3 linked regions of the Oryzias latipes genome follow. The protein of the gene in region 3 interacts with the protein of the main gene of each other region in a pairwise test. Links are inferred from orthologs where the notes say so. Each region holds a gene or a part of one and is shown on either strand. Other genes may lie near its edges.

Region 1 (3,343 bases), on a different chromosome or scaffold from region 3:
ATAAACTTCATTCAATTACCCTTTACCAATTGAAGTGGTTCCATTAAGTTGGATCAACTTGTTTCTTTTTAGAGTGTGAGCAAAACCCCCAGAACCACACGGGGGGACCTGGTCAATGACCTCCAGAGAGTTAGCAGCAAAGCAACAAAGGCCACTATCCATAACACAGGACGCCGCCACACCTCCTCAAAACTGTAATCACCCGAATAACTTGTCGAATGAGGAAGGACGGCAGCTCGGGGACAGCTTCCAGATGATCGGGGGTCAGTCAAAGAAAGAGGACCCAAGAGAGAGCCGGTCCCACGGCCAAGCCCAGGTCCCCGCCCCTAAGCACTGCCCCAGCAAGAGCTCAAGTCAGGTGCAGATGGAACCGAGGCAGTTGACTAGTCATGAATTTCTATTGAACTCCTGCCATTCTGCACAAACTACGTCCTACACAACGATACAGGTTTATTGATTTGGCCTAAAATCTGCATGATCCTAAGTAAAGACTACTGGGAACGATTTGACAACAGATCAAAAGATGATCGGAGTGAGACTTCTATGCATTTTACAGCGTAGGCTTATGTAGTTTTCAACCTCAAATATTGTCAGTTCTTATTCAAAAAAAAGTCCAAGATGATGAAGAGTGGTGAACTTTAATTATCTGCTGTAGTTACATTAATTACATTTCATGCAGGATCCTACTTCAGCGTGCATTTCTTCTGTTTAGAATTCTTTGTCTAAACATTAGCAGACTCTCTTTTTTTCAGATTTCAGGTCAGTTGGATAACATTGTGTTAGGGATCAATATCTCTAATATCAAGCACAAATCCTACTGAGAAAAAGATGGAAATGTCAGGTGTTTAGAAGAGTCTTCTTTATAACCGTGTCCTCCCAAAGCCTGGTGGTCCAGCAGACTTAACTACAGACAGGCTTCCTGCATCCTCAGCTTGTCCGGTTTTCTGGTTACCGACTACTTCCACTATTCCACTGTCACGATACGAATGGAGCCCAGGTCGGACAGTAGGTCTGTGGAGTCTGAGGAGGCATCAATGACATTCGGGGCTTCACCAGGATTTGCGGCTTCCCCTTCATCCTGGATGATGACGTTCCTCAGCTTCCTCTGCCGTGGGTTGTAGTTCTCCGTGCGTTTGTGAATTTGGCTGTGGCGTCTCAGGTGAGCCTGGAGTAGAAGACGGAAGACAGGGGTGATTCCTGAAAGACAAGCTGCTTTTACAGCATCTTCACAAATCCCTCATAGTTGAAAACAAACAGTTTGGAATTAAAGAAAATAAGTTTTCCTCGTTGACTGTATACGAGAACTGGACTGAGTGTGACGTCACAGAAAGTGCAATTTTTTGACTATACAGATGTCACCGTGTTATAGCCAGACGACGTCAGTAGGCAGTGATTGGTTGGTCTGAGTCATTCTTTCTATAGCAACCATTCTCGCCAATCGAGTGAGCTTGTTGGAAGTCCACACCCCTACTTAAAGTGGAATTGATATAATCTGGCATTTAACGTTTTGAATGTACAACGTGAGACCACATGCTTTTATTGAGGCTTCTGACTTCATATATAGCAGGTTATAAAAAGAAAACAGAGCAAGAAATGGTGATTCTGAGAAATAGATTGACTGAGTAACAGCTGTTTATTTCTCTACAGAAGTCTGGGAGTTTAGCTTCTTGAAGCCAGAGGGTACTTCCTGTTTGGAATACCAGGGGGGAGGAGTCACTCAGTCCAGTTCTTATACACTCAATGGTTGCAACACGCGTCTTTAAACATAAAAACTTAATTTTATTTAATTAAGTAACTAAATTGCTTCCACAGGGAAAAAGATATCAGAAAAGCAGTGCAGAACAAATTATTATTTTTGTTTATTAAGTTACAAAGAAAAATGATTCCTAGTTATTTACTCTTTATGCTTTATTCTTGTTTAAAATCAGTCACAATTTAGTTTTTTTCCTGCGTTTCTTAAATTTTCTGTGATGCAGAATCTAAATCTTGAAAGGCGCTGGCGACAGCTCAGAAAGATGGACACGTGTCACATCCATTTGTGTTGGGTTTTTCCTTCCATGTCTGAAAAATGACAAATTTGCTGACAAACAGTTGGTTGATCAGTTGCTGAAGCACAAACACTGTGGCAGTGGTGGAACCAACAATGTAATGGTCAAAACTAAATCCATTGTCTAGGCCCCAACCAGTCGGATTTTGATCTTAACTATAAAACTAAAACATTTTTATATTCCCAAAACTTCTTCCCTCATGAAATGATCTGGGATATGAACGTGTTTCAGCTGCACTGCATGTGTGTTTCCATCTGTTCTGAAGTTTGCCTGTTTTTATATCAGGATGAACACGGACAGATCAAGCACCTCATGGTTACACTCTTTCACATACCTTAAGAAGGAAGGAGAATGTTTTGTCCTCTCAAACAGTTATTGTTCTAGAAATTGGCTCCCTCTTAAGTCTCTGAACTGATTGCATTTACACCGATTGAGGCTGAACTCAAATGGAACAAGGACTAACAAAAACTAAACCAATAAGAAATTTAAACATTTTTATTAACAGATTATCCGAATGACATGGCTCTTACACCTACCACTCGCTTTGGTTCGCTTTTTTGACTTTTTGGTCCACTCAACAGTATATTTGCATTCACACTGTAGTTATCTGCACCAGGATTCACTTGCAAGGTCGGGGTTCACTTTTGATGTGGTCCAGAGTTCACATAACCTTTGGTAAGCACCAGGGTTCAGATACGTTTTTAAACCTCCTAAATGAACCCGACCCCAGAGTAAAGTAATTCTGGTGCAGTAAAAATACCCCCCCCCCCCCCCTCCGATTGCACTAATTTCAACCTTTGCAAAACTTCATAAAGCCTTGTAGCCTTCGTGGCCAACAAAGTTTAAATCCCACATGGGGTGTGACATATGTCAGTACGTCAAAACTTTTTCTTCTCCCATCAATCATTTTCCGATTTCTGACAGTATGAGAAAAAAAATTTCTATCGACTAAAACCAGAGATTTACTAAATTCTAAAAACGTACATTTTGCCTGTTTCTCCATATTTTCTCTGATTATACAGTATTTTTCAATTTTAAGAAAACATGTTAAAACAACAAAATCTATTTGGTGTTTTGTATCTAATTTTTCTGAAGTGTTGCGTTTGCACTAACCTGCCGAGTGAACTTGTAGCCACAATCGCTGCACTCAAAGTTCCTCACCCCTTTGTGACGTCGCAGATGGACACGCATCTGCTCCTTTGCTGGAAAAAGGAAAGAAAAAAAAACAGCTTGCAGTTTCTTTTGCGCCAACAGAGATCTGTGTTTGTGACCAGGTCAGCATGCCTCACCTTTGA
Region 2 (4,405 bases), on a different chromosome or scaffold from region 3:
TGCACATATCTATGTATATACTATATGTTTTTGGTCATAAGCGTATGCTGATTGTTCCTCTGTTCTTCAGGGCTCTGATAGCAGGAGGCGGAGCTCCAGAGATTGAGCTGGCCGTGCGTCTGACAGAGTACTCGCGCACTCTGGCTGGGATGGAGGCGTACTGCGTGCGCGCGTATGGTGATGCTCTGGAGGTCATACCCTCCACACTGGCGGAGAACGCGGGCCTGAACCCCATCTCCACGGTGACGGAACTCCGCAACAAACACGCACAGGGAGACAAGATGGCCGGCATCAACGTCCGCAAGGTCGGCGTGCTTTCCTTTTGCTCCGTCTGTGCGCGGTTGACAGCTTGACAGATTTATTTATTTTTTGGACAGGGGGGGATTTCAAACATCTTGGAGGAGCTGGTGGTGCAGCCCGTGCTGGTTTCCATCAGCGCGTTGACTCTGGCCACAGAAACGGTCCGTAGCATCCTCAAGATCGATGACGTGGTAAGACTCAGAACTGGATTCCCTTTTTCATTTTACAGAAGTATGATTGGAAATTAATTTTTGTGTTCTGGTTCCAGGTGAACACTCGATAGGTCTGTCCGGTTTCTGAAGCCCGTTTGTTCTGCGAGGGATCAGAGCATCACGTCGACAGCAGTCTGCTCCGATTTCTGCTGTAGTTATTGCATTGCCTAATTTAATAAAAGGCTGTGGGGTTTTTTTTGTTGACACTGCTGCCTCTTTTTGTCTTTCTTTCTTTGTCTTTGTCTTTATGTTGCACTAAAGTGTAGTACACAGATTTAGAAACATGTTCTGGTCTTCATTTTTTTTAAATTGTATGTCTTGAAAACCGCTAATTTGAAAAAAGTATGTGAAATATTAACGCAGAGTTAACACGTATTTACCAAATAATTTCTGCAGCATGAAAAGATGCATAAAATCTGGTTTCTAGTACTTATCAGACTAATGGTAACATTATAAAACATGACCTAAATGTAAAATGTTGATTTGCTGTTATAAAATAAGGTTTTCTCTTGATTAAAGAGTAATGACAGATCTTTATTTGTCATTGTCACGCATACAATAGAATTTAAAGTGATTCCTGGTCAGTCTAACACTCATACCTTAAAAAAAATTAGACTCCAGGCGCCGGTGCCTCTGACCTCATGCTCATCCAAGACGTGGACGGTGCTGCTTTTCTATAGAATTGGTTAAAAATGTAAAATCTTTAGATAGAATTTTTGTGTGTCTTCAAAAATTGGGTGATGATCATGGCCTGGTTCAAAAAAAAAGTCCTGCTTCTATGCAAAATAAATTCAATGCATAAGTAATTTTATTATTTGAATTAAGATACTTTTTTTTATTTAAGTAGCCGTTTTCATTCAATTAATCAAATAAGAAAAAAATATATACATTTTAATGGTCAGAACCTGTGTTTACTCGATTCATTTTAAGCGTTCAGTTTAAAAATGTACACGTTTCCAACGCTTTTATTTTGTATCAGAGCTTTGTTCTTTGCTTCCGTTTTACGTCACTTCCTTCCTAACGATGCTTCTCCGTTGCTAAGAAGCCAGCCAACCTGACAACGACTGTTCCCTCCGGGGAACGAACTAAGTAACAGAACCTCATCAAGGCGCTTTTTTAAAAAAAAAAAACTGTTTCAACAAAAAGATGGCGAATCCTCACCGGACGAACGTTTTATTAACTTCCTGTCTGAAGGCGCCGGTGGACCCGCACACCAAGGCGCCGCTTGCGTCATACGAGCGCGGGGCAGTCCTAACGCACGCGACTGCAGGCCAGCTGGACAACCGGGACTATGAGAAAGAGGTAAACACATGTTTAAAAATATTTCACAATAAAAGTCACACTTTCAAAATAATAATCTTTCTAAAAATAGTTAAGACAACTCTGTATTTATTGAGATATATAGAAACTTTGTATACACTTTAGATTGGAGGTTGTTATACTATATTTTATTTATTTATTTATTTATTACAATGTGAAGGTGGGTGAAGCTGTTGTTTTCCTGTAGTCTGAGTGCAGCTCCCTCTGACCTGAGACAGGTTATGTCCAGTTAACAGGATGTTGACAGTTTCAGGTCAGCCAGGTGGAAGGGATTTGATCTGTCATTTGTTGTCCCGTCTATTTTTGGATTTCTGTCTTCACTAGATTACCAGAAGTCTTGTTGGGTCGGTAATCTCTTTTATATCCTTTTAACAGCAATGACCTTCTGTGGAAAAAACACCTCGTAGCAAGTTGGTCTAATTTTCAGAAACGCTTCTGACAAACATCCTTTTTAATGGAGGCCGGACACTTTAGGAGGAGTAGATGTCAGCGGAGCTCCTTCATGCTGAGCTCACCTTTGTGTTCCAACCATATGGCTCTGATCATTGTGACTGCAGGATAATGAGCTTAGTCCTGAAGACCTTACTGCCCCTCAACAGGGCAGCAGTGTTCTTTAGGGCATAGAAGTGAAAACAAACTTTTAATAAATTCATGTAGGAAGCCTTCAAATACCTGTTAATTAACATGATGATCCTTGAGTGACCTTTGGGCATTTCAGCTGGAGTTTTGGGACTCGGGCTCGGATTTCTGTGATGAGGACTGTCTGGGGATGGGAGGAGCTCACGTGGGGGGCAGCTTCAGGGCAGCCGTCGACCGCCTGGACCTGAGTGAAATCTTCTTCTCCAATGAGGAATACTACAGCAAGCTGGAGGAGCTGAAGAGGGCCCACGAACGCACCATGGCAGAGCTGGAAAGCATGTACCAGCAGAAGCTGCAGCTCAGGTCCGGTGAAGCTTTTGATATGAAGGCCCTGGATATCGGTCACAGGTCAGTTGGGCCGGATTAAAGGAATTTCTTTGACAGTTTAACACTAATTTTGCAAACCGAGACTATTGTTGTTGTTTTTTTATTTTATATATTAACCATATTTTCACTGAGATTAAGGGACTTTGATTATGAGATATTCATTCCTGCAGAAATAAAATAAAATAATTAGCTCAGCTGCCTACAATTGAACATGTTTTAGGGTTGCTTTTAAGAATAAAAAACAAATTACCTGGAAAGCTTAAAGATTTCCTCTTTAAATTTTTTATTGTTCGCATGTCCATTTCTTTTTTAGATTATACTGTCATGCATGGAAGAAAGCTTCGGCCTATCTTATGCATGTTTTGCAGGATTCAACCATTGACTGTAAATGAGAACTGAACTGAGTGACCCCTCCCTCCTGGCGTCCCAAACAGGCCAAAATCGCATAGACTTCTATAGAGAAATAAACAGAAGTTCTTCAGTCATTCTATTTTTCAGAATAACTATTCTTGCTCTGAAACCTTTTTTTTTAAAGACCCACTTCTATGAAAACTGTGATTTTCATAGAAAATCACAGTTTTGTGGTGTTTTTAACATGTTCTTATGGCATTTTTCTGAAGATGGAGGACAACTTTGAAGAGAATTAAGGTTATAATTGCATTTCTGAGTATTTCTTTATTCAAATTGCTGTGAATCAGGAGCAGATGAGACAAAAAACAGTTTGAAAAAGAGGATATTTGTGATGTAGAAAATACGCTGGGTGGGCCAAAAGCTCCCTGCTCCATTCTGAGCTGGAATCTGGATCTAGACTGTACGGTTGAAGAGCTTCACCATCATCCACAGTAATGTTAGGTTGGGGGTGTAAGGGCCTGAAAGGTAGCGAGAGAGAGTGTAAACAGAGAACTCTCTGCTGTGGGTGACAGACGTCATCTTTAGCTTAACCCCTAACCCAAAACTCAGAGGTGAATTTCTAATGAACTCCTGCCACTCTGCAGAAACTTTTAGCCAAAAAAAAATTATTTTGGCTAAAAACAGCATAATCATAATTGAAAGACCACTGGGAATGCTCTAAAAATCAAAAGATTATCATAATTCTCAATAATCTTAGTTCTTTCATGATATTTTTTCTGTTGTAAAGGTTATTCAAGCTATAAGCTGACCCATCAGATGCCTCAATAAAATTCAGCGGCCAAAGTTTTGTAAACTTGATTGACAGGTGGTAGAAATGTGGACTTCCAACAGTACCGATTGGTGAGAGTTGTCGCCATAGAAATGCAGGGGTCCAATTTGGACATATCACTGCTGACTCCAACACGGTGGTGTCTGTATCGCAAAAAACAGACGACTGAATTGATTACATTTTGTTGGAGCCATAAGTAAACCATTTTCCATGGGTGACGTCACATTCACTCAGTCCAGTTCTCATATACAGTCAATGGTTTTAAGTAATTGGCTTTGGGCGGGGTTTAGTCTGTGCTCGAGGTGGGTCCAAGTCTTACTTGAGCGGGATTCAAACGGTAGTTATTTGGAGAGTCGTCTAAGAGTTCATAATTCTTTTGAGGCAGAAAAAAACCATATTGTCTTCTGTGGAAAAGGAACTCGATTAT
Region 3 (4,387 bases):
ACACAAAAGTTGTTTTGCTTCAATACTTCACCGTATTAAATCTACTTTGTAAAATAATTTTATGGGCTTTAAAGATTTCTATGGCTGAGTCATGTTGCAAACACTGTTTCTTCTGTAAAGATCCCATACAAGATCGCCCCCCGTAGAGGAGGAGACGTAGCATCCTGCTATGCTGACCCTAAGCTAGCTGAGGAGGAGCTGGGATGGAAGGCTGAATTTGACATGGAGAGGATGTGTAAGCTCCACTTATTGACTCTAAATTAAAACTGGACGGAGTGTGACGTCACTCATAGAAAGTGACTTACTTCTGGCTCCAGTGAAAAAAGGTTGATTCAATTTTTCGTGACACGGACACTGGCACGTTGGAGCCAGATAACATCAGTAAGCAGTGATGGTCCGAGTCGATCTGAGTGATCATTTCTATGGCAAACCATTCTGGCCAATCAGGAGAAAGCTTGTTGAGAGGCCACACCCCTACCACTTGAAAGTGGGCTCGGGAGAATCTGTCAATCAAACGTTCAATCTGAGACCTCTGAGTCATCTGATTGCCCAGTTTAAAACTTAAATAACTACAGAAAAAATAGGATTAGCAAGAACATGTTAAAAAAAGGTTTTAGGGCAAAAATGGTTATTCTGCCAGATATAATGACTGAGTAATAGCTACTTTATTTTACTATAGAAGTCTATGGCTTCTTGGAGTCAGCAGGTACTTCCTGTTTAGAACCCAAGCAGGGATGGGTACCTCAGTCCAGTTCTCATATACAGTCAATGGCTCCATCACACCGTGCAGTCTGATAATCTGCAGAAAATACATTCAATTAGCTGCGATCATTTTTCAATAATCTGTGCCATCTTTATTTTTTCTTCCTCATTTGCATTCAGGTGCAGATCTGTGGCGCTGGCAGTCCATGAACCCCACTGGATTTTCCAAGAGCACCAGCTCTTGATGAATGCTGGGGGGTGTTATTGATTATTTTGTGTTAATCCACCAAAGCAGATACTATTTTTTTGTCATGTCATAAATGCAACATAAGGCCTCAAATTTGAATTTCTTTCTATTATTTTTGGAATTTGTAACTAAAATCTATTCAACAGATTTTTTGTCTTTATTTGGTTGTTTCTGAACAGCAGGGATTCTTTTCTTAACTTTATAATTATGGAAGCCATAAAAATGATGAATAAAATAATTTTCTAACAGTAAAATTGTGCTTTCTTTTGAAATGTATTAATTGGAAAAACCCCTAAGGACATATTCTTTAAGATTATTGGTGCTGTATTTTTTTATTTTTTGTGGGGTTTTTTTTTTTTCATACGGATGGAGAAAGAAATATGTTGTAATAAGAGGATACTGGAGGAAATCATGGTAAGGTGAGCATGAATTCCTGCGTGATCTCGAGTGGGTATGGTCGTTTTTAGGCTGAGGTACGTGCTGTTCCTGTAAAAAGGCACTGGGGCTTTAAATGGCTCCCTGAACCCTCGGGCACCCTGTTAATAAACACCCACGTCAGCACGGAGCTCCAGTCTCTCTGACCGGGTTTCGGTCTTTAGGGCTGAGCAGGAAGTGCCTGGCTGTGGACCCTGGACGGGGAGAAATAAAAAGCGGAGGGGGAGGGTCAGAAAAGGCACAAATAATCATTTAAATAAAAAAAATGGATATAGAGGTAGATGCAGGGGCAAGTAGAGTGTGCCGGGCGGCGGGTGAATCCAGTCACCAGTGAGTATCGATGCTTTTCTGACGGGGTATATATATCAGGGCGTCAGCGGGTCCTTGCCGACACCTCGCGCCTGCGAAGGCGTCGCTCGCTCCGGGCAGCAGGCGAAAGCTGCTCGCTGTGCTCCGGACCTCCGGAGAGGAGTGGGGGCGCCTCTCGCGGATGGAAACGGGCGTTTGTTTCATCAAACTGATTCGTGGTGTGGACATGTTTATCTGAGCTCGCGGCGTGCTTCGCCGCTGGAGGAGGTCGGTGTCTTTTCTTTTTTCTTTTTTTTCCATTGTGTGCTGGCTGGAGCCTGAAGTGGGCGTCGCTCCAGGACAGACGGGGCTGCTCCGGATCGCCGCTACCCGCTTTCCTCTCGTAGGACTGCAGCGTTCTCGTGTCCGTTTGGAGGTCGCGCGCGGCCGAACGAAGGGGAAATTGCTCGATTAACACACGAGACTCGGTTCTGAGTGTGATTTGAAGTACCGGAGTGTTTCAGGCGGGTGTTTCGCCGAGGGTTATCGGGCGCTGCGGAGCTTTTCGAGGCGTATCGCGATAATGAAGGACGCATTTAAATCCATCAAGTCAGTCCAGACAGGAAAAATGACTTGCTGGGTTTTTATAAAGTAGTCTGTCTTTCAAATATGAGCTTTAGGCAAATTATTAGTATGCCTTTCGTTGTTTTTTTTAATGGCTTCTATTAGCTGCAGAAATCTTTATTTATAACTGTACAGTATATTTGATTCATCATTCATTTAACCAACAGGGTTAAATAAAGGGTTTGTTACCCGCCCTTCCTGATAGAGTCGGGTGTAATCCATTATAAAGCATTTCCTGATTGATGGATCACCCAGCCAATCAGAGCGCAGAACGGTGGGCCGGTCTTCCTTCAACATGATCCACTGCACAAAGATGCTGCCAGAGTAGAACTTTAGGACATCTTATGCTTGTTTTTTAATAGCTACTTAATTACTGACATTTCTATGGAGCCCTGAACCCGCAAATTTATATTTTGTGCACAAATTTGAGGATCAGTTCCTTCTACTAATTTGTGGCCTACAAAAACAACATTCTGTGGGAAAAATACATGTGTGCACAAAATGCTAACAAAATATGGCTTTAAAATACAAATTTCTGTGCAATAAATACACATTTGTGCACACATTATGCCAATTAGTGTACACAAATTTGTGCACACTAATTTTTGGCCACTAGTTTTTCCTACAAAATTATAGTTAAATATTCATTTGTGGCCACGAAATAACGGAGCCTTGGAAATGACATTACAAAAATAAATAAATGGTTCCCTCACATGTATTTTTAGTTTTTTTTTGCACAAATTAGCATTTAGTGGCTACAGAATAGTATTTCATGGGGACAAATAAGAGTTTTAAGGGGGAAATTAGCATTTTGTGGCCAAATATTTGTATTTTGTGGCCACAAATTAGTAATGTAACTTGAAGATGCTAAAATACTATTTTATTTGCTAATATTAATTTTTGGCCATAAATTAGTATTTTCTACACACAAAGTAGCATTTTTTTTGGCCCACAAATTAGCATTTTGTGCGCACAAGTTAGAATTTTGAGGCAATGAATTTGTATTTTTTGGGCACAAGTTAGTATTGGAACTTGAAGATACTGAAATACTCATTTGTTTGTACTAAAATGTAAAAAAATAATAAAATGGTCATTTGTCTACACAAAATACTAATTCATGGTTACAATTTTTTAAATGAGTAAAAATTTTGTTTCATTTAGAGCTCTGTACATTTCCCCCGTGCCTTTTAAAATACTAAGTTGTGACTACAAAATGCTCATAAATTACTAATTTGTATCCACAAAATGCTAATTTGTGACCACAAAAGGCTTATTTGTGTGTACAAAATACTAATTTGTGGCCACAAATGATATATTTGCAAACATGGCGTAGTCTGAATATGCAGTCCTGGGGGGTATTCCAGAAAGCAGGTTATGCTAGCTCCCACGGTAAGTTTGAGGCTAAGGAAGTTGATAATCTGTTCCAGAAATGGAGGTATGTTTCAGGGTATGTCAAGTTGCCATGGCAACTCATGCTCATAACATAACCTGGGGCCTCATTTATAAAACTTTGCGTAGGATTTGCGTCAGAAGTGGCGTACAGATGAAACATAGGACGTGCGTACGCACAGAAATATTCAGATTTATAAAACCGTGCGCACGCACATCCTACGCATCTTTCCCTTAATAAATCACAATCAATTCTAAATGCAGCGCAGCTTTTGCGGCTTCATGACACGCCCATAGTTGCCCATAAATAGTCCGCGAAACGCCCACAAATGAATATTCATGGATTGCGAAATCATGGCAAACACAGAGAGGAAATGAAAAAAAACGTAACTTCACTCAATGTGAAGTAGAAGTTATCGTTGGTGAAGTGGAAAAGAGGAGGAAATGTTGTTTGGAGGGCACAGTGTGGGCATTACTAATGCCAAAAAGGCACTTGAGTGGCAAACGGTGGCAGACGCCAAATGCTGTAGCCTCACAACCTCGGACCGTGGCCGAAATAAAGAAGGAATGGTCGGACATCAAAGTCGAGGCATAAAAAACGTCTAGCGCTGCATCGCCAGAGTGTCTCTGCCACCGGGGGGGGGGGGGGCACCGGAGCGCCAGATGCACCAGGTGACACGCGTGGTTCCTCCGAGTGCTCTT

The links.
Region 1: the proteins of zbtb8a (region 3) and telomere zinc finger-associated protein interact in binary tests that used the Homo sapiens proteins (3 or more experiments, as listed by UniProt). The two-hybrid records come from large-scale screens. The link is inferred for Oryzias latipes from reciprocal best matches to the Homo sapiens genes ZBTB8A and ZBTB48.
Region 2: the proteins of zbtb8a (region 3) and fam161a interact in binary tests that used the Homo sapiens proteins (3 or more experiments, as listed by UniProt). The two-hybrid records come from large-scale screens. The link is inferred for Oryzias latipes from reciprocal best matches to the Homo sapiens genes ZBTB8A and FAM161A.

Annotation. Positions count from the first base shown.
Region 1 is NC_019865.2:24,218,294-24,221,636, forward strand, and holds the end of telomere zinc finger-associated protein, read right to left. Parts: coding exon 3,338-3,343; intron 3,251-3,337; coding exon 3,162-3,250; intron 1,166-3,161; coding exon 965-1,165; 3' UTR 620-964; downstream 1-619. UniProt on the Homo sapiens protein: Plays a critical role in transcriptional regulation and chromatin remodeling. Acts as a regulator of telomere length. Directly binds the telomeric double-stranded 5'-TTAGGG-3' repeat.
Region 2 is NC_019859.2:4,112,639-4,117,043, forward strand, and holds the start of fam161a (protein FAM161A), read left to right. Parts: upstream 1-1,487; 5' UTR 1,488-1,658; coding exon 1,659-1,814; intron 1,815-2,207; exon of another isoform or gene 2,208-2,550; coding exon 2,551-2,819; intron 2,820-4,405. Other genes in the region: cct4 (T-complex protein 1 subunit delta), read left to right, coding at 71-305, 378-491, 569-583. UniProt on the Homo sapiens protein: Involved in ciliogenesis.
Region 3 is NC_019880.2:16,761,325-16,765,711, forward strand, and holds the start of zbtb8a (zinc finger and BTB domain-containing protein 8A), read left to right. Parts: upstream 1-1,516; 5' UTR 1,517-1,649; coding exon 1,650-1,714; intron 1,715-1,729; exon of another isoform or gene 1,730-1,960; intron 1,961-4,387. Other genes in the region: gale (UDP-glucose 4-epimerase), read left to right, coding at 121-235, 883-947. UniProt on the Homo sapiens protein: May be involved in transcriptional regulation.